3 linked regions of the Schizosaccharomyces pombe genome follow. Changing the gene in region 1 together with any one later gene gives a genetic interaction. Each region holds a gene or a part of one and is shown in the gene's direction. Other genes may lie near its edges.

The links. Genes that interact genetically often act in the same process or in processes that back each other up.
Region 2: mutations in plb5 (region 1) and SPOM_SPBC2G5.01 together harm fitness less than expected from each alone (positive genetic interaction), as found in Schizosaccharomyces pombe (one large-scale study listed by BioGRID).
Region 3: mutations in plb5 (region 1) and hac1 together harm fitness less than expected from each alone (positive genetic interaction), as found in Schizosaccharomyces pombe (one large-scale study listed by BioGRID).

What each region holds. Positions count from the first base shown.
Region 1 is NC_003421.2:1,739,934-1,746,448, reverse strand, and holds plb5 (phospholipase Plb5), read left to right. Parts: upstream 1-2,989; coding exon 2,990-4,861; 3' UTR 4,862-5,247; downstream 5,248-6,515. Other genes in the region: nar1 (iron hydrogenase), read left to right, coding at 1-155; wtf antidote-like meiotic drive suppressor Wtf16, read left to right, coding at 5,801-5,939, 6,107-6,352, 6,402-6,515.
Region 2 is NC_003423.3:2,573,538-2,578,895, forward strand, and holds SPOM_SPBC2G5.01 (Ca(2+) binding protein), read left to right. Parts: upstream 1-3,024; 5' UTR 3,025-3,083; coding exon 3,084-4,208; 3' UTR 4,209-4,331; downstream 4,332-5,358. Other genes in the region: Ragulator-Rag complex subunit Lam1, read left to right, coding at 292-333, 374-408, 461-556, 600-677, 740-950; cyb502 (cytochrome b5), read right to left, coding at 1,285-1,357, 1,406-1,559, 1,744-1,891; ckb2 (CK2 family regulatory subunit protein), read right to left, coding at 4,780-5,358.
Region 3 is NC_003423.3:1,205,867-1,211,883, forward strand, and holds hac1 (2-hydroxyacyl-CoA lyase Hac1), read left to right. Parts: upstream 1-2,808; 5' UTR 2,809-3,098; coding exon 3,099-4,760; intron 4,761-4,811; coding exon 4,812-4,856; 3' UTR 4,857-4,990; downstream 4,991-6,017. Other genes in the region: SPOM_SPBC725.03 (pyridoxamine 5'-phosphate oxidase), read left to right, coding at 1,174-1,947; npp1 (nucleotide pyrophosphatase), read right to left, coding at 5,029-6,017.

The sequences.
Region 1 (6,515 bases):
AACCCGGTACCAGGTCTGTAGATCAATCCGCAGTATCCTATATGTTAGAACAATGGGTCAAAGATCCTACGCTGACACCCAAGTTTCTTCACACATCCTATCGTGCAGTGCAAACAGATAATGATAATCCCTTATTGCTGGCCAATAAGTGGTAAAAATAATTAAAAGAAGGAAAATTTATGGGTTTTTTATAATTGTTTATTGGGAATTTAATAGGTTTTGGCTATTTTGGGGAAATAAAAATTTGAAATTAATTGATTAGTGAAGAAGTTATACGCGAATCTTTAGTTGGCTAATATGTGATTCTTCATACATGCTTGATAGGATCCTAGAAGTACTTTACTTCTGAATATTTCATGTGAATTCATTTCTCATTGTATTTTTTAGATTCGCAAGATTTCAATTCATTACCGATATCCGGTATATTATCAAATAATTTACATAACAATAATGATAACTCCATTATCATCCTACACATTTAAAGAATACACTGGTAAAAACAATCATTTCCTCTCAATAGTACTTTTGAATGTGTTTTAAAAATCTAAGTGTATCCATTTCGTAAATAGAGAGTTTCACTTTGAATATTATTTCTATTTTCTTTTAGGGATTTCTAGTTGAAAAAAAAAAGCGCTTCATATAATTTTAATCAATGAAGAAGATAAATTGTTTTAAATACGAAATCTCATACAACTTCATCCTTCAGTAAATTTTTTACCAAAGTTGCTCTTGGTCGCACATCTTTAAAGGTAGCCTCAGCTATAAGACCATAAACAAAAAATCTATAGAGGCATTGTAAAGAGATAAGCAACTTCGAAGTTTTATACACCAAACACAAGTAGTTATCAGAGTTTTCCATTTAGTTTAATTTAATTTGGCTAACTATATATTACACTTAGGGAGTATTCAGCTGTGCGACAAATTTCCACAATTACGCATATCTAGTTTATCACTCCTTAAGTTGGTATTTGTGATTTTGGACGAGTTGTTGCTTAACTTGTATTGCGAAACTTACTATAATACAGTATTCGTTGACCTTAATACCTCAACTGCCTTTGCTACGCTAAGGATTCATCACATACCGATGACACTTCAGTAGTTCTTTAAATTTATTTAAGACGTACAAGCCAGTGCATAATCTAGGTTTACAAAACTCTTTGTTATAGCTCCTTAGACACGGGAACTAAGCAAAGGAGGTATACAGTCTGGATACACGGGAACTCTTAAACAAAGTGTAAAATAATGTATCTCTTAATAACTCTGTCGAAATGGTTATATATCACATTGTGAGCTTGTTACAATACCTTATAGCTTTGCATTTAGTTCAGTGCAGTTTCTTATGTTTGTGTTTTGGGTTTGTAAAGTATGATAAAACGAGAGAGATATTTTGACAAACTGATGAAATTCAAGATCTACTGTATCAGCTTATAACTGGAATAGAAAGAAAGAATATAAAGGCTACAATGTAGCCATGTGCGGTCAACGTTTAGACTGCCGATCTTATGACCTAACTAAAGCGATCGCTATTCAGATCCATTTCTGCTTGTAGGGATGAGACTTTGTAGAATAGCAAATCTGTAAATTAACAAATCTTCAAATTTTGTTGCATCAAGCAATAACTTCTACTCTATCTGTTTCTATCAATGGTTTTTCATATCTCGAATTGAAATATTTCCAATGTGAATCAACTAAAAACATCGCACCCCATTACCTTATTGAATATTCGAATTTGGGGATTTCCTAGAAGAGTTGGACATTAAATGACGTTAATAGAAGTAAAAAAAAAATAGAAAGTCGTTTCATCATGGACTTGTCGATGATTTGCATTACCAGACAATTTTACATCCGTGAGTTCGCAGCAATCGGGTTGGTATCCGTTTATAAATTTAGCCGTTGATATTCATCCCGTCATTTAAAGCTGAGCCTAGGTTGATCTAAATATTCCATTATAGAATCGCTGAAATATTTATTGAATAGGGCATAAATGGTACCCATGAATGCTAATGATAACTAGGCAATCCAACTCCAACTGGCATCTAAAGACTTAGTAATATGACCACCATTTCATAATCTCACGGTGCTACATATAGAAAATCGTTAACATCATAGATGGCATCTTCGGAGTTCCTTCTAGTCCACGCCGAATTGCGGATCAAGGTAAGCAGATCATGAGAAACGTGGGTCATGCGAAAAGTGAGTCTACAAGTGAGTTCATCCTCAAAAGCCTATATATATTATATATATAGCACTTGGGAATAAATGAATAAAGGTTGCAACTTTAGTGATTGAATCGGTAAATCCCGTTAAAACAAACAATCAGTGATTCATCCTTCTTTAGTGTGATCTGTGTAGGTAAGCAAGCAATTTACAAATGCCTAGAAAGTTGGCAAGGCCGGTTTGTGTTTGGCAAGGAAATGAGCAAAAACGTCTGTCTATTCCTAAAACGGACGGTGGGTAAGCAAAATCCCAACTTGAAAATTTGAATTGGGATTTTTTTATTTCAATGGAAAAAGATAGGTTAAATCATAAAAAAGAACATGATATTATTTTCTTGGAAATATGTCGAAATCCTGTCTCATCCCAACCTTTTCGACAAAACTAGGTGTCCTGATGGAAATATAGTTTAAGCTCATCGCTTGCCGAACCGCTCCATCAAATGCTTAATTTGCTTTTATTGACATTGTAGCTCGACGGACTCTCTAGATATCTAAATATTTTTCGTTGAACTTACTAGATTGGGAATTGACAATTGAAAGCTCTTTAATTGATTACTTTCATTGTCTTGATTTTTTTCATTCTCAGAAAATTTCAAAAAATTCAGACTTTAGAAACTCGCTGTTTGTTAATCACTCTCTTGCTTTTTTTGGATTCAGAGAAAATTGAAAAATTCGAACTTTTTTTAAAAACGAATCATTGACCGTATTCTATCCTTTTATCCTTTATTAAACCAACCTTGCTTTTTTAATTTTTATTTTATTTTTTTTTAAACATGAAATTATCTTCCTTTGGATTATTTCTCGCTCTCCAGCTTTTGCCGGCCTTGGGCCTTCCTTCTCGTATCGATGAAGTAGACGTTTCAGACCCAGAACTAATCGGATTATTGAAACCCGATAACGTTGATAAGCCAGCAAACTCTATACCCCTTTCCAAGCGTAGCACAAGCCCATCGTATGCGCCTTATACTGTTGCTTGCCCTAGTGGCTCTCTGCTTCGACCTGCCTCCGATGGCCTTAGTACTGGTGAACAAGAATTTGTTGACAAACGTGTCTCAAAGGTTAACAGTGCATTGGAAAGCTTTATTTCAAAAACCGGCTTAAAAATCGATACAAAAAGTGTGCTGAATGACACAGATGGCCCTCGTTTGGGAATTGCAATCTCTGGCGGTGGATTTCCTGCCATGTTAACGGGAGCCGGCGCTATTAATGCATTTGATGCTAGAAATGGTAACACTACGTCTCTTGGTGGTATTCTTCAATCTTCCATGTACCTTACTGGTCTTTCTGGTGGCTCTTGGCTTGTGGGATCTGTTGCGGTTAACAACTTTGCCAATATTACTTTCTTGCACGACGACGTTTGGAACCTGGACCACAGTCTCTTCGCTCCCTATGACGACGCTTTTGAGAACTTTTATATTTACCAAGAGTGGTTTGAGCAAGTTCTGCAAAAGAAGAATGCTGGATTCAATGTCTCCATTACTGACCTTTGGGGCCGTGCTTTGGCTCTTAAGCTTGTCAATCCTTTGACTGGAGGTGCTAATACTACATTCTCTAGTGTAACAAATGAAACGTGGTTCCAGGATGGTGAATTTCCCTTTCCCATCATCATTGCTGATAATGTCATAGAGGGTGAAACCGTAATCCCTTTGAACGACACTGTCTTTGAATTTACACCCATCGAATTTGGTACTTGGGACACTGGGGTGGAATCATTTATACCCATGGAGTATACAGGTACACACCTTATTAATGGCATTCCTCTTAATGAATCCTGTGTGCGTAATTTCGACAACGCTGGTTTCCTCATGGGTACCTCTTCAAATGTTTTTAGCGGTATCCTTCCTGCGACAAATGCATCACTCACCGCTAGTAATAATACCTTTAACAATGCTGTCCTTAGTTTCCTCGAAATGCTTGCCGAAGATCAATTGGATGTAGGTCTTTATCCCAACCCTTACCAAGGTTATGGAAATGCTTCCAATACAACCACTACCAATCCCTTGGAGCCGTATCCCATTATTGAATTAATAGACGGTGGCTCAGATAGTGAAGGTATTCCCTTTTGGCCCTTGCTTCATCCACAAAGAGACGTAGATGTTATTTTTGCGATTGACGGGGGTTATCAAAGCGCAACGAGTGGATGGCCAGATGGATCGTCCCTAGTTTCTACATATGAAAGAGTTTTAGCCACTAACTCCTCTGGCGTTCGTGGTTTCCCATATATTCCTGATACCAACACATTTTTGGCTCTTGGTTTGAACACTCATCCAACTTTCTTCGGTTGCGACGGTAGAAACACCACAGCCGGAAACCATACCGTTAATGACGATACTCCTCCTCTTGTAGTTTACTTCCCCAACTATCCTTGGACTATGTATGCAAATGTCACTACCTACACTGTTCAACTGGAAGATACTTTGTCCAGTGGAATGATTGAAAATGCCGCTGTTGCTGCTACCCAAAATAACAGTGATTCATTTGCTGTCTGCGTTGCATGCGCTCTCGTTCAACGTTCCTTGGAACGCAAAAACATGTCGACTCCAAGTCAATGTGCTTCTTGCTTTAATCAATACTGTTGGAATGGAACAATTGCAAGCACGACCGTTACTACATATGCACCTACAGTTCTGTCAGCCAAGATTTAGTATGCAACGCTCACGACAATCCATTTTGTTCGATCTTTTCCATGGTAGCATAGAGCGTAAAGCATTGAAACACTAATGTTCATATATTCACTAATCTAAGAACCAGCAAAAGTCGGCTCTTTACTTATTGCTCATAAACAACGAGAAGGAAGATATAGTGAATAAATATAGGAATGAAAAAAGCTTCAAGAAGCCATTAACACCATCGAATTTGAATTCCTAAGCTCTAAATGACACTAATTTATGTAACCTTTGCAGAAATGTTTCAACTCAAATACTGTGTCAGCAGTAGTCCAGCACGCTACGATATACTACGTTGCGTAGCACTATATGTCATGCTAAAATATACATAACATTAGTTTATTGATGATTGTAGCTGTTTGTCCATCTATCTACACAAGTTACACATTGGTAGCAACTAGAGAAAAATATAAATAGAGCTACCACTGAACCTCATTCCTCAGTTCAGTTATTGGCTATATCGGTGACCGATACTACTAGACTTTTTATAACAATAAATATAATATTATTAGTTAACAAAGCGCATACCGCTATGTTGTAAATCCCTAGAAATCTCGCCGCAGTGCTATATATCGTTAAACCAGATACCAAACTGCGTAGCTGACATTATAATTATACTACAACGTTTGCTTCTCAAAAACGTTTTAAGGAAAGCTAAGTTAGGGTAAATAAAAAGGGCAGTGACAAAATAAATGTGTCAGAAGCAATTGCATTTTGAAAATGAGTTTTCGAATTTTAACTTTTACCTACTATTATTAAAGAGAGAAGTCTTCTTTGAAAGAAATTGCTCGTTTTTTATGTTGAACGGCTGAAATTGGGCTCCAGAGTGAAAATTCTTGATTTCGCTGTTTCGTTTGTCGCAATTATAGCAATTAATTCGCGCATGTATTTTATTAAATAAAGAATGATCTTGAAAAAATGAAGAATAATTACACTTCCTTGAAAAGTCCTATAGATGAAGGAGATGAATCGAAGACAGGACATGAAATCGATTTGGAAAAAGGGCTACTTCCAGAATATGATTCAGAGGAAGAGGGCGCACTGCCTCCATACTCGGGTAAGAATTGTAAATAATAAGAAAGGAATTACTCAATTGAAATTGAAGCTTGCCATCGTAGTCAAATTGCATGCTTTGGTCATTGTTTACAGTTGGCCATGCAATGCACACATTTTAATACATGTTCTTTCTTTACTAAAGTCTTTCAATCATATTAATTTAAACAGATCACGCACGTGTAAGCAATTCTCCTAACACACATAGAGAAAACAATCCTTCCAGGTCGACAGATAATTCTTCCCCTTTCTTGATAAAACTGCTAATATCATTCACACCAATCTATGTACTGAATGTACTCGCAATTTGTTATCTAAAGTATAAGGACGCTTTCTTTAAAAATTATGGTGCAGCGGAATGGACATTATTTGGATTTTGGTGTCTTGTTTGCACTTTGGCTTTAATATTCTTGACTTGTAAGTGAGACAATGGGGTTATTCTTACCTTCAGTCACTAACTCATTAGACTTCTATGAAACTTGGACCAAGGCAGTTAAAGTAACTGCGGTCGGCTTGTACAACTCAAGGAAAAAATGGGTAGTAATAATCTGGTTATTATGGGTAGTCATTTGTTTTGTAC
Region 2 (5,358 bases), on another chromosome or scaffold:
GAGAACCGGGTGACGATACTTATTGTGTTATCTAGTAAAGTAAAAGAGAAGTAATAGCTACTGATTAACCTTAGTTGTAAAATTTCAAAAATTCGAATTCTTACTTAGCCTTCCTAGTTTATATAGTGCACCCATTTTCATATTCAGACTTTATGAAGCGAATCGAATTTTGCGTTACTAACAAAACGCGGCCAGTTGACGGTAAGGTAACGTCAACAGATTACTACTTTTATCGAAACTGCTGATATATTTGAAAGTAGTTTTTCTTTCTACAGTCAGGCTTACTTTATAATGGGGAATTGTTGTTCTTTTTTATTTAATAACTCCGATGATGTTCGTACAAAGATATTTTACTGATTTTAACAGTTGATAGATTGATGAACAAACACCATTATTAAATAATGATGGGTAAAACTAATTAGTTGTTTCTCTTTCAATGGATTTTCTAACGGGACCGTAGAATTCAAAGGACTCCTCCTTCTGCCGAAGCAGACATGAGTTTACGAAAACGTGAAGAAGAGGAAGAATGGGAGTCTAAGGTTTACGATGTCGCAAAGTATGAAGCCTTTGGTATCTGTTTCTTTGTTAACTGAAAATAGAAATAAATTCATTGACGTCTTTTCTTTACGATTGAGAACCGAAGCACCTCAGCGAGACCCTCGGGACAACATTTATGAGTAAGCTTTTGATAAATTCTTTTTATACAGTAGAAACTATATTAACATAATGATTGCGATAGGGAGGTATTAGATCAAATCGACTCATTGAATTTAGATCCAAAATACGATGTTGCTAAACCTACCGAGCAGGAAACCGAGTTTATAATAAGGAAACTAGGTGTTTTGATTGATGATATTAACAACATTAAGCTGAGTGATAAAGAAATCAAAGGAAAGATGGTAATCAATTTATCTAAAGTCCAACCGAATATTACTGGAAGTCCTTCATAAGCCCAATAGAACTAATTTTTCCATTAGTTATATTCCACTTCTGATTACATACTTCCCTCTTTACTATTAGCTAAATCTTTTTGTTATACTTTTTTGGTTTGTTTAATATCTCCATGAGTTAATTACATGTTACGAGCTGAACTCATTGTTTTTAAGAGCTCTCTTACTGAAGGAAGACATTTAAGAAATATATTTTTCTAAGTTAACGTTTATTTTGTTTCTTTAGAAGCCTTGAAAACAATTGCTATCCATAATAATATTGAGTGATACTAACATCGCGAAAAACAAAAGAAGGTATAAAGATTAGGAAAATAAATAGGCAAGCCTTCGAAGTTTATTTGTTAAGCTTAACAAACACAATTACTGCTATGGCTGGCAGGACAATTAATGCGATTAATAGAGGCAATCTGTTCTGTTAGCATGAAACAACCATCGTACACAAATCATTTTCTTACGGAGGCGTATCATTATCAAATGAACGAGGTTTCTTTAATTCTTTGAGTCTCTCCTCAGTTCCGGGTTTTAAATCACCAATATACATCTCTTCTAGTAACTCATCTGCAGCAATAGAGTGTCCAATGTCCTGATAGGCCTTAGTGGCGTCCTGGCCTAAAACAAATAGTTAGTGGACATGTTTAAAAAGCCGTATACAATGTTTTAATCAAGAAGGCACACAAGTGAAGAACTGATGAATGAAACGATAGCGATTAAAAGTATACTATCGCTTTTGAGCATAGCAGTCTCCAACATAATATGGTGTTTACTTCTACAAAAGTTTTGTCGAATTATTTACCTGCATAGTCCAACATTATATCTAAGCCTCCAGGATGATCATCAGCAAAGTTACTAACGTCGTAAACTTTTCCATTAATGACCATGTACATGTCTTTGGAATTATTGTGCTCCACAATCTCCTCAGGTTCAAAGTATTTCACCGACATCTTGATAAATAAATCTATATAATAAAAATCGTGTGTTGAGGGGAGTTGGAAAAAGTTTGCGAAAGTTTTGATATCGCTAGTAGAGAAAATCTCACGTTAGGGTATCGTGTGGTAGTAGTAAATAATCGAACAAACGAGCTCAAGGAATTTATTTAGCAGCCAATGATAGGCAAAGCGGCATGTACAAAATTCTGCCAGATTTTCTGCTTAACCAAAAAGTGGATAGGAATAATATTTTTTTACCAATAAACAATTATTGTTGAGGTATGGAGGATTTCTCATTTATATCTTTTTATCTATAATGATCTAATAACGATAGATCTCAATATCCCTCGCAACTTTGATACAAGCTTAATTTAGCTAGCGTTAAGCTTATGACATTCTTCAGTAACGGTATGTTACATGTTTGAAAAAAAAAATATGTCCTAGGTATAAAGTACAACAGGGTGACTAGCTTCCTTTTATTTGCTTTGTTGAGATTAACCGATCGTATACGTAAACAAGCAAGTACAAAATGACTTTCTTTTATATAGAACGCATGAATGTAACTAAGATTTTGAGTAAATGCGTAGCAGTTCGTACAACTATCATTTACCAAATAGATAAACTACTACCTTTGAAAATTGTAACGCCATATAGTTTCTCTGTCGGATATATTCAGTTGAAAGCACCATTCATTGCTAATAAAACACCAATAATTACAGAACCGATCTAGTAATATACATTTAGACCAACTGAGCTTCTATGCTTGTTTGTCTTTGCAGACTGTTTTTGTAACTTTTGCAATAACAAGCTGAAGTGCCAGTACAATATTCTTGAGCATCCGTTAGCTATCTAATTTTGCTTCACATATAGCAACTAGAAAAATAAAAATAAGTAAAAAGAAAAAACCTCAAAATTATGTTGGATATAACTAGTACAAAGTGTTTTCTCCACGTCAAAAAAAGTGTCACGAACCGGGATCGAACCGATGACCAACAGATCTTCAGTCTGTCATGCTCCCAACTACACCATCGCGACATGTTCTGGTTACCGACTTATTTTAAACTATCTATATACACTAGTTAATCTTCCCACTCTAGGAACCGGCTTGTCTCGTTCGTTACTTATTTCACCACGTTCAATCTCACTTCGTACAACCAGTGCCCTTTTTTCTTTCACGAAAGTCAGTAAATTTACAAGCGGAGGAACCATGATTAATAAAAAGCTTTTGTTTCTAGTTTTTGCACTAGCTAAAGGAGTACTGGCTGATGAGGAAGATGAATACGAAGAGGATTACAATATGAATCCCGAGTTGGAGAATCCAGGAATGTTCAAGCATGTCGATTGGAGAGATTTCCGTCTTGAATTTGTTATTCTTGCTTGTTTTTTCCTTTATGTTTTTTCTTTTATCACGCAAAAGAAGAAAAACCAAAAAATCGCTTCTCGCTGGTATGGTTCCTTACAGTCTAGCTTTCGCCAACAGTTTGCACAATATGGACCAGGTCCTAACAGTTCTCCAATCATTTATGACTCTCCTACCGAGTTTAGCTCCTATCTTACTGGACGTCTCAACGTGAAGAATGTGTATACAACACTTCAGCTTTTTCCTCGTCAAGATTTGTTAGCCTACTCTCTTAATCAAATCGTTGAAATCCTCCTGGGAAACGTTATGTCTTCTGTTTTACCTGTTGCTGACCGTTTTCAATTCGATTTAACTCTTGCAGACCAGAACTTGAAGGCTGAGCGTTTTGTTTTCGCCATTGTTCATAAAGACTGTATGCGCATTCTTCGTGAAATACGTTACGACTTAAGCTTTACCCGCATTTCTTCCTCTCCTTACTTACCGGAAACTCATGTTTTAATGTCTGAGAACAATGAGTGTAGTCAAGCTATTTTCGAAATTCCCGAGTTTATGTCTTCAATTAACGAGTGTATTGAAAACCTTGAGTATTTCATCGTTACTGATCAACCTTCAGTCCCTCCTGCTACCGAAAAGGATTATGTTACGAAGCCTCGTATCGAAGCTTCAATCAGAATTAAAAAAATCACATCCCTTTCTGGTTTGAGCAATGCTACGGGAAGTGCATTGTTTAATTCCTTGTTGCTGGTAGCTGATAGTTGTCCAAAATTCCAATGGCGACCAGAAGTTTCGAAGAAACTTACCTCTGCCCGTAAACTCGCCTTTGAGCAAGTTGTTCATGCTTCAGCCGCTAAGGCCGCCAAGAAAAAAGTTAAATCCTCTGGCGATATTTCTAAGCTTTCTGAGTCTGATCAAAAAAAGCGCATGGAGAGGGAACGTCAACGCAAAATGAGAAGACGCGCAAAGAAGATGTAAAATGTATTTAGCTAAACTTCGATTTCTCTTAACATCTATTTTTCTCTCTAATACAAAAGCAGTTTTGTTTGTTTGTTTTTTTATTTAATTTTTTTCATTATTGTCAATTAAATGTATTTAAGTTGTAAGGTATGTATGCAATGGTTAAGAATTATCGGATTCATTGAGGAAGCACACCTTTGGTTACACTTGCGCACCCTTATTTTTTGGTCTTGTATTAATTTACATGTATGATTAGTCTGCTACTTCAATTGATGAACAAAGTATATTATCAATCAACAAGAAATAAGGAACTTTTTTTTACCCAACTTTTAAAGGTAACCAATATTAAATCCTTTGGAAGTTCATCAAGCTCTTTAGTGTGAATTTACTAATTCAAATGCCTCGCGGACATTATATTAAAAAATACCAAATTCTGTTTTTTCTTATATGCAAAGCAATGAGACATCAACTAGATAATTGAATTTGACGGAAAAGAAACTTCAAGGATATTTTATAGGAATAAAAGTATTATTAAGGCTTAGAGGAACGAACCATTAGGTTATGGCATAAATAAGATGAAGCATCGTTTTTAATCACTTTCAGACTCCGAATCGCTACCACTATCTTCCAAGTACATACGAAGCCATTGCATTCGAGGTCCTGTTTTACTTAATTCGCTGACTTTAAAGCCATAAATTCTAGGCTGATAAATTTTACCACAAGGGATTGAGCGCTTAGGATTCAGTTCAGGATAGCTTTCAAAAAACAGATGAGGAAAAGTAGCACCAAAAAAAGAGCCATCTATGTTTTTGTATCGAGAACTAGAAGGAGCGTACAAATCAAGACAATTAGGGCAAAATAACATTACAGGCATTTTTCCAACTATATCAGAAAGTCCTGCAGGCAAAACATGAGTATAGCAGCAATTTACACGAGGACAGCAACCAAAAATACCCATGCTGTATTTTTCCGCCATTTGATGTAATCCTGTCCGGGTAATAATATAACGTTGATGGATCAAACCATACAATATTTGAGCACTCGTTTCAATTACGTCCATATCAAAATTCTCCAATGTGTCAGGAGCTGTCCGATCGAGAATTAGGTCCAAAGCCTCATTATAGAAAGGGACAGCCAAATTAAGACCGGTTAAATTGAAAAGATCTTC
Region 3 (6,017 bases), on another chromosome or scaffold:
CTTTTTTTTGTTAATCGAAGTATAGTTTGTTCGATTCCGCAAAGACAAGAGAACATTGAAATATTGATTTGTGTGAAACAGCGAAATCAAGTATACCTCGTTAATTAGCGCGGCAAGTAGGATCCTGCGGATTCATAGACGTTCCTTTGGAGGCGAAGCGTTATTAGGATTTTCATACCCGTTGTGCAGCTTTTCGTCGCCTTGTTTTTCTAGAATGATGCGGGATGAATTGAATATGCGGAAGCTACAGATGTGCAAAAACTAGGCATAAACCTCGCTTGCCTTCTTAGTTTGCTAGGCAATGTGAAGCAAATGGTCATAATCCAAGTGATACGCCTGACAGAGACAATTTAATTTGTAAATTATTTTTATCATTGTTTTTATCCTCTGATGTTACAATGTATTCATTGATATCGCATTTCGGCATTCCGATGTTCAACCCCGGTATGCGAGAAGGTGTTGGCCGCTTTTTTCGGTATCAAAGTTGAAATTTTAGATGACTAATCTTATGTTAATTAAAGATAAGAGGACGAAGTTTGCTGAAATCAAGTACAGGTTTTGATTGACTAGGCATCCTCACTAATGGTGTGAGAGAAATCTGTTAGGATATGCAAGCTGTCATTTCTCACTTTTTCAATGTTGGAAACCTGTACACAGACAATGCATACTCTTTTCTATATCAATTTGCAAACTAGATGGCAGCTCATTGTTCTGTGAATAATCAGATTAAGGTACTGAACAACGGAATATGGATTGCAATGTTCTTTGAAGATCTAGAAGGGGAAACCATTTTTGTTAGTTAAAAGTTTTATTTTTTTGTTTTAAGTTACTAGTTATTGTCTTTATTTTCTTATTTTCCTTTCTCTGTGCACTAATATTAAATGATTTTACTCTTACTATTTACCAATTCTCTTGAGCAGATGAAGAGAGGAATATTTTAAAAAATTAGTGTAATCCACGATAACGTACAATTTGCTTTTTCAGAAATCACACACGATTTCGTTAGTAAGTTTAGCCGAACTTTAGAGTTGTGCCTTATACAGATATCTAGAGATCATTTCTGTATAGCGAGCGACCTTTAGTACGACACACTTAGCAAAGTCAATGACGTTTCAGTCAAACAAGTGACTTATATAGGATTCATACGTGCATCCCATTTCATCGTTTGCCAACATGTCCCTCGCTTGGAAAAATGAGTTATTGAAGCTTTTAAAAGAAAATGTCGACTCCAGTGGAGTTATTCATCCCGAATACTTCCAGCTGGCAACTTTACCCACTGGTAATGAAATTTACCCCAGAAATCGTACTGTAGCTATTCGAGGATTTGTCGGTACAGGATGGCATAAACCACGTCCCGATGATGTGCTAGCTACAGATTTATTGGTATTCTCTACGGATATTGCTTCTCACAAAGCTGCTGAGATTGCTGAGCAGCAAAAAAATACATTCCCCTCTGGACCCATACCGAACGCATTTGAAATGTGTGGATGGTTACCAAAGACAATGCAGCAAATTCGTATTTCCGGTCAAATTTGGTTATACACACCAGAACTTGCCGACCGAAATGAATTTCCCGCAGACAAGTTGATCCAGGATCATTTAATAAACAGCAATGGCCGCATTCCCGAAGAATGGTCTTGGGAAGAGGAAAGAAGACGTATTTGGGAGTTACATAGTCCTGAACTTCGCGCTTCCTTTTCTACTCCTCCTTCATACTCCAAATACCAAGGCGATGTGAAGGTGTCACCTTTACCTTCTACCCTCACTGGAAAAGAAGATCCCGGGGTTATTGAAGCTTGGAAGACTGCTTGGGGTAGATTTTCTCTTGTTGTTTGTGAGGCTAACGAAGTCGAGTTTTTGAATCTTACCCCTCCTCCAGGAAAGCGCGTTTTGCACAATAGAGATCTAAACACGAAACAATGGTCCTCCACTCGTGTCAATGTCTAAATGTTTTCCTTTTTTTTCGCACATCCTTTATGAATTGATTGCTCTTGATAAACGTGCAATACTTATGAACTACGAATATTAACTTATAATGATTACTCCTAACATTTTGGTTCTTTTTTTTTGTGGAGTATATGAAAAAGGTCTGATTCCCTCAAATTTGCCTAGCTTACAATTCGGTGGGTTTTGTAGTTGAATTTTTTTTTAGTACTGAAGCATAATACTGAGTACAAACTACAAACTCAGTGTATTCCGAATTTTCTAATGTTTATTTACGTTGTTAAACAACTAAATTATCACTTATCCTATGTCAAATTTCCAATCCGGCCACTTGATGAACTATTTACGTTTATAATAAATAAAAAATTATGAAAATTGTGTGTATTAAAGTACTTACAGGAAGACATTGTAAAAAATTGTTGCGAGATTAAGCAAATAGGCCAACCTACCTGCTAATGATGATCATTTATTAAAAGATCTTACCTGTATAATATTATATTAAGGTTATTACTATATGGCTTGTTTTATTATCTTATATTGTCTTACGCAGGTAGAAATGTAGCAAAAAAAAGGGAATAAAGCACCACATAAGAAACACAATGTCTTATTTGAAGGGACGGTGAATTGCCAAGTCATTTAATTTTATCGAATCAGTATTCATAGAACCGTAAAGGTCCCCGTTGAGTTAAGTGGCATTATTGAATACATGTGTGGATCTTAACTTATTAACGATACAAATTTAAAACCTGTTAACGTATTCCTTACTATACATTAAATACTTTAAGGAATTTTACCAAATTGGCTTATACATTGGATTATTAGTACTCGGTTACATAAGGGATTAGCAATTTCAAATACAGGATTGCTCATCCATCATTTTTTAAGCATTGCTGTTATTTAAGCTCATCTAGATCAGAACTTCTTTTTCTCTCTAAAGTATAGAACACTTGGTTTACAGAGTGACATACACTTCAGTTTGTCAGTTTATTGAGAAATAGGGACGGTATTGCTAGCTACTGGAACCAAACCCACCTTTACTTTGCTTTAGTCTTTTCTTGTTTTCTTCTGTCTTTCTTTTGCATTGAGCTTTTCATCGCTTTTGTTTGGTGAACAATATTATTCAATTTAGAGGTACATATTAATTTGTAATAACAATGTCTATAAGCTTTTCGGAATTGGTAGCTAAGACATTGTTGGACTTAGAGGTTAAAGTTGTTTTTGGCATTGTTGGCATTCCCGTAATCGAAATTTGTGAGGCTATCCAAGCAAGTGGAATTCGGTTTGTCGGGTTTCGCAATGAGCAAAGCGCAGCTTATGCAGCGACTGCCTATGGCTATTTAACTCAGCGCCCTGGGGTCTGTGTCGTGGTAGGCGGTCCTGGCGTTGTACATGCCATGGCCGGTGTTTTCAATTCTAAAACCAATCGATGGCCTTTGCTGCTTTTGGCTGGATCCAGTGAAACATTTCAGCAAAACTGTGGGGCCTTCCAAGAATTGGACCAGGTTTCTTACTTATCACCTCATACGAAATTAGCCGTGCGCCCCCCAAGTCCCAAAATGGTTGTTGATTCCATTCGAAGAGCGTATCGTGTCTCCATGACCGGCACTCCTGGAACATGCTATGTTGACTTGCCAGCAAATTATATTGAATCTACTGTCGATGACTTTCCTAAAGACCCTCTACCCCCAATTCCTAGTTCTCCCAAATGTGCACCTGATCCAACACAGCTTCAGAAGGCTGCATACTATTTAAAAAATGCAAAGGCACCTCTGCTTGTCGTTGGTAAAGGTGCCGCATATGCCTGCGCTGAAAAACAGCTCTTGGAATTTGTTGAACATACTGGCATTCCGTTTCTTCCGAGTCCCATGGGCAAAGGTTTGTTACCAGAATCGCATCCCTTAAATGTGTCTTCGGCAAGGTCAGCTGCTCTTCGTAATGCAGATGTAGTGCTCTTAGCAGGGGCACGTTTAAATTGGATATTTCAATATGGTCTTCCACCAAAGTGGTCTCCTAATGCCAAATTTATTCAAATTGATACCAATGCTGAAACTTTAGGAAACAATGCTGCAGATTTGGATTTAGCAATTTGGGCTGATGTAGGTCTGACAATAGATTGTCTTTTTAAGCTCGTTCAAACTTGGAAGTACAGTGTTGGCATCTCGACCCCTTACCTTCGCACGTTAAATGAAACCCGATCCAAGAATGAGAAAAAGGCTCTTGAATCTCGAAAGTCCAGTATACCGTTGCAAATGAATTATGCTTTGTATGTCGTGAATGAGGAGCTACAAAGCTTATCGCTCAAATCAAAGCGTAATATCACTTGGGTTTCTGAAGGCGCCAATACAATGGACCGGGGCCGTCAGCTTTTAGAAGTAACTCATCCACGTGGTCGACTGGATGCAGGCACTATGTCAACAATGGGAGTTGGTATGGGATATGCTATTGCCAGCGCATTTGCCCATTCATCCGACAAAATAGTGGTAGTTGAGGGTGATAGTGCTTTTGGCTTTAGCGCCATGGAACTGGAAACCGCCATACGCAACCAGCTGGATCTTTTGGTAATTGTAATCAATAATAATGGTGTTTACCATGGATTAGATACTGATGCTTATGAAACTTTACGTGATAATCACCAATTACCGACTACTGCCTTAGGCACTAGTATACGTTATGATCAAATTTGCGAAGCATGTGGTGGTAAAGGTTTCTTTGTAAAGAATGAAGAAGATTTGAGAAGTTCCCTCAGGAAAGCATGGCAAACCTCATCTGTATCTCTCATAAATGTTATGGTGGACCCGGAGGCTGCTCGAAAATTGGTAAGTATTAATGGAATGAATTAGGTATAAGAACAAGCTAACAATCACTAGACATTTGCATGGATGAGCAGTACCAAAGTGAAACCAAAGTTATGACCATCATTTAATTAAAAATAGAAGAAGTGATGTTCTTTTACGATTCTTAAAAATCGGAATACAGTTATTGTTGCTATTCAAATAAAGTCGTTTATTAAAAAAAAGTATTAAATATAATCTAAAGGAAATTAAAAATATTAAAAAATATAAAGATAGTGATAAAACAGCAGAATTAAATAAGCTTAGAGTATGCTTGTTCTATGTCCTTCAGCAACCATTCCTTAGTAGAATTACGATTTCTTCTTAAAGGTAAAGCACCTTCATATGTACCATTATTAGGCTGAGCTGGTAAATCTAATATATGCGAAAGAATGCCATAAATTTCGGTGTTCTGGAACGGTGCAAGCTTCTTTCCCTTAAAATTCTTAAAAGAAGATCCTGAAGCGATAAAAAGTGCTCTCATCACTGGAGACAAATTGTCATAACCATGTACACCCAAAGGCTCATACTCCAACTCCGGTGAATGATCCAGCATCGAGACAAGAGACCATCCAACATCCGGGATCATCCAAACGGGAGCTATTCTTTCATTATTTGAGTAATGCCATCGAGAAGGTATATCTTTCTTTGAATAAACATTCCAATTCTCAGCAGAAGGTAATGACGAGCGAGAATAATTAACAAGACTTTCGTAAATGTACTCATCATCTAAATCAGATTCTCCTCTAAAACCTCCTAACGGCCAAGCATCTCTGTGTGCAACGGCAGACAAATTAAACATATTATCCAGCCAGATAAGACGATTATCGGATGTAGGCGCCATTCCATGATCACTTAAAAAAATAATGTTGACATGCTTATCGATATTTCTTTTCTTCAGTCCTTCAATTAGTTCACCAATTACGATATCAACTTCTTGAATTATGATATTCAGTTCAGGCGAATCCGGTCCAAATGCGTGCCCAACCATATCTACATGGGGAGCATAAGCAAGTAATAACTGAGGGCGGTCTTTATCAGGAAGATCCAGCCATTCGAGTATTCTATCTTTCTTTTCTCTTAGAGTCGTATCAAAATTGAAACCATCCGAATAAGTAGGTCTGTAACCATGATTCTCCACTTCATTTCCAGGCCACATATGTACCGCTGATCGAACGTTATTTCGCTCAGCGTTGACCCATATAGGCTCCCCTTTATCCCACCAAGTTGGGTCTTTGTTAC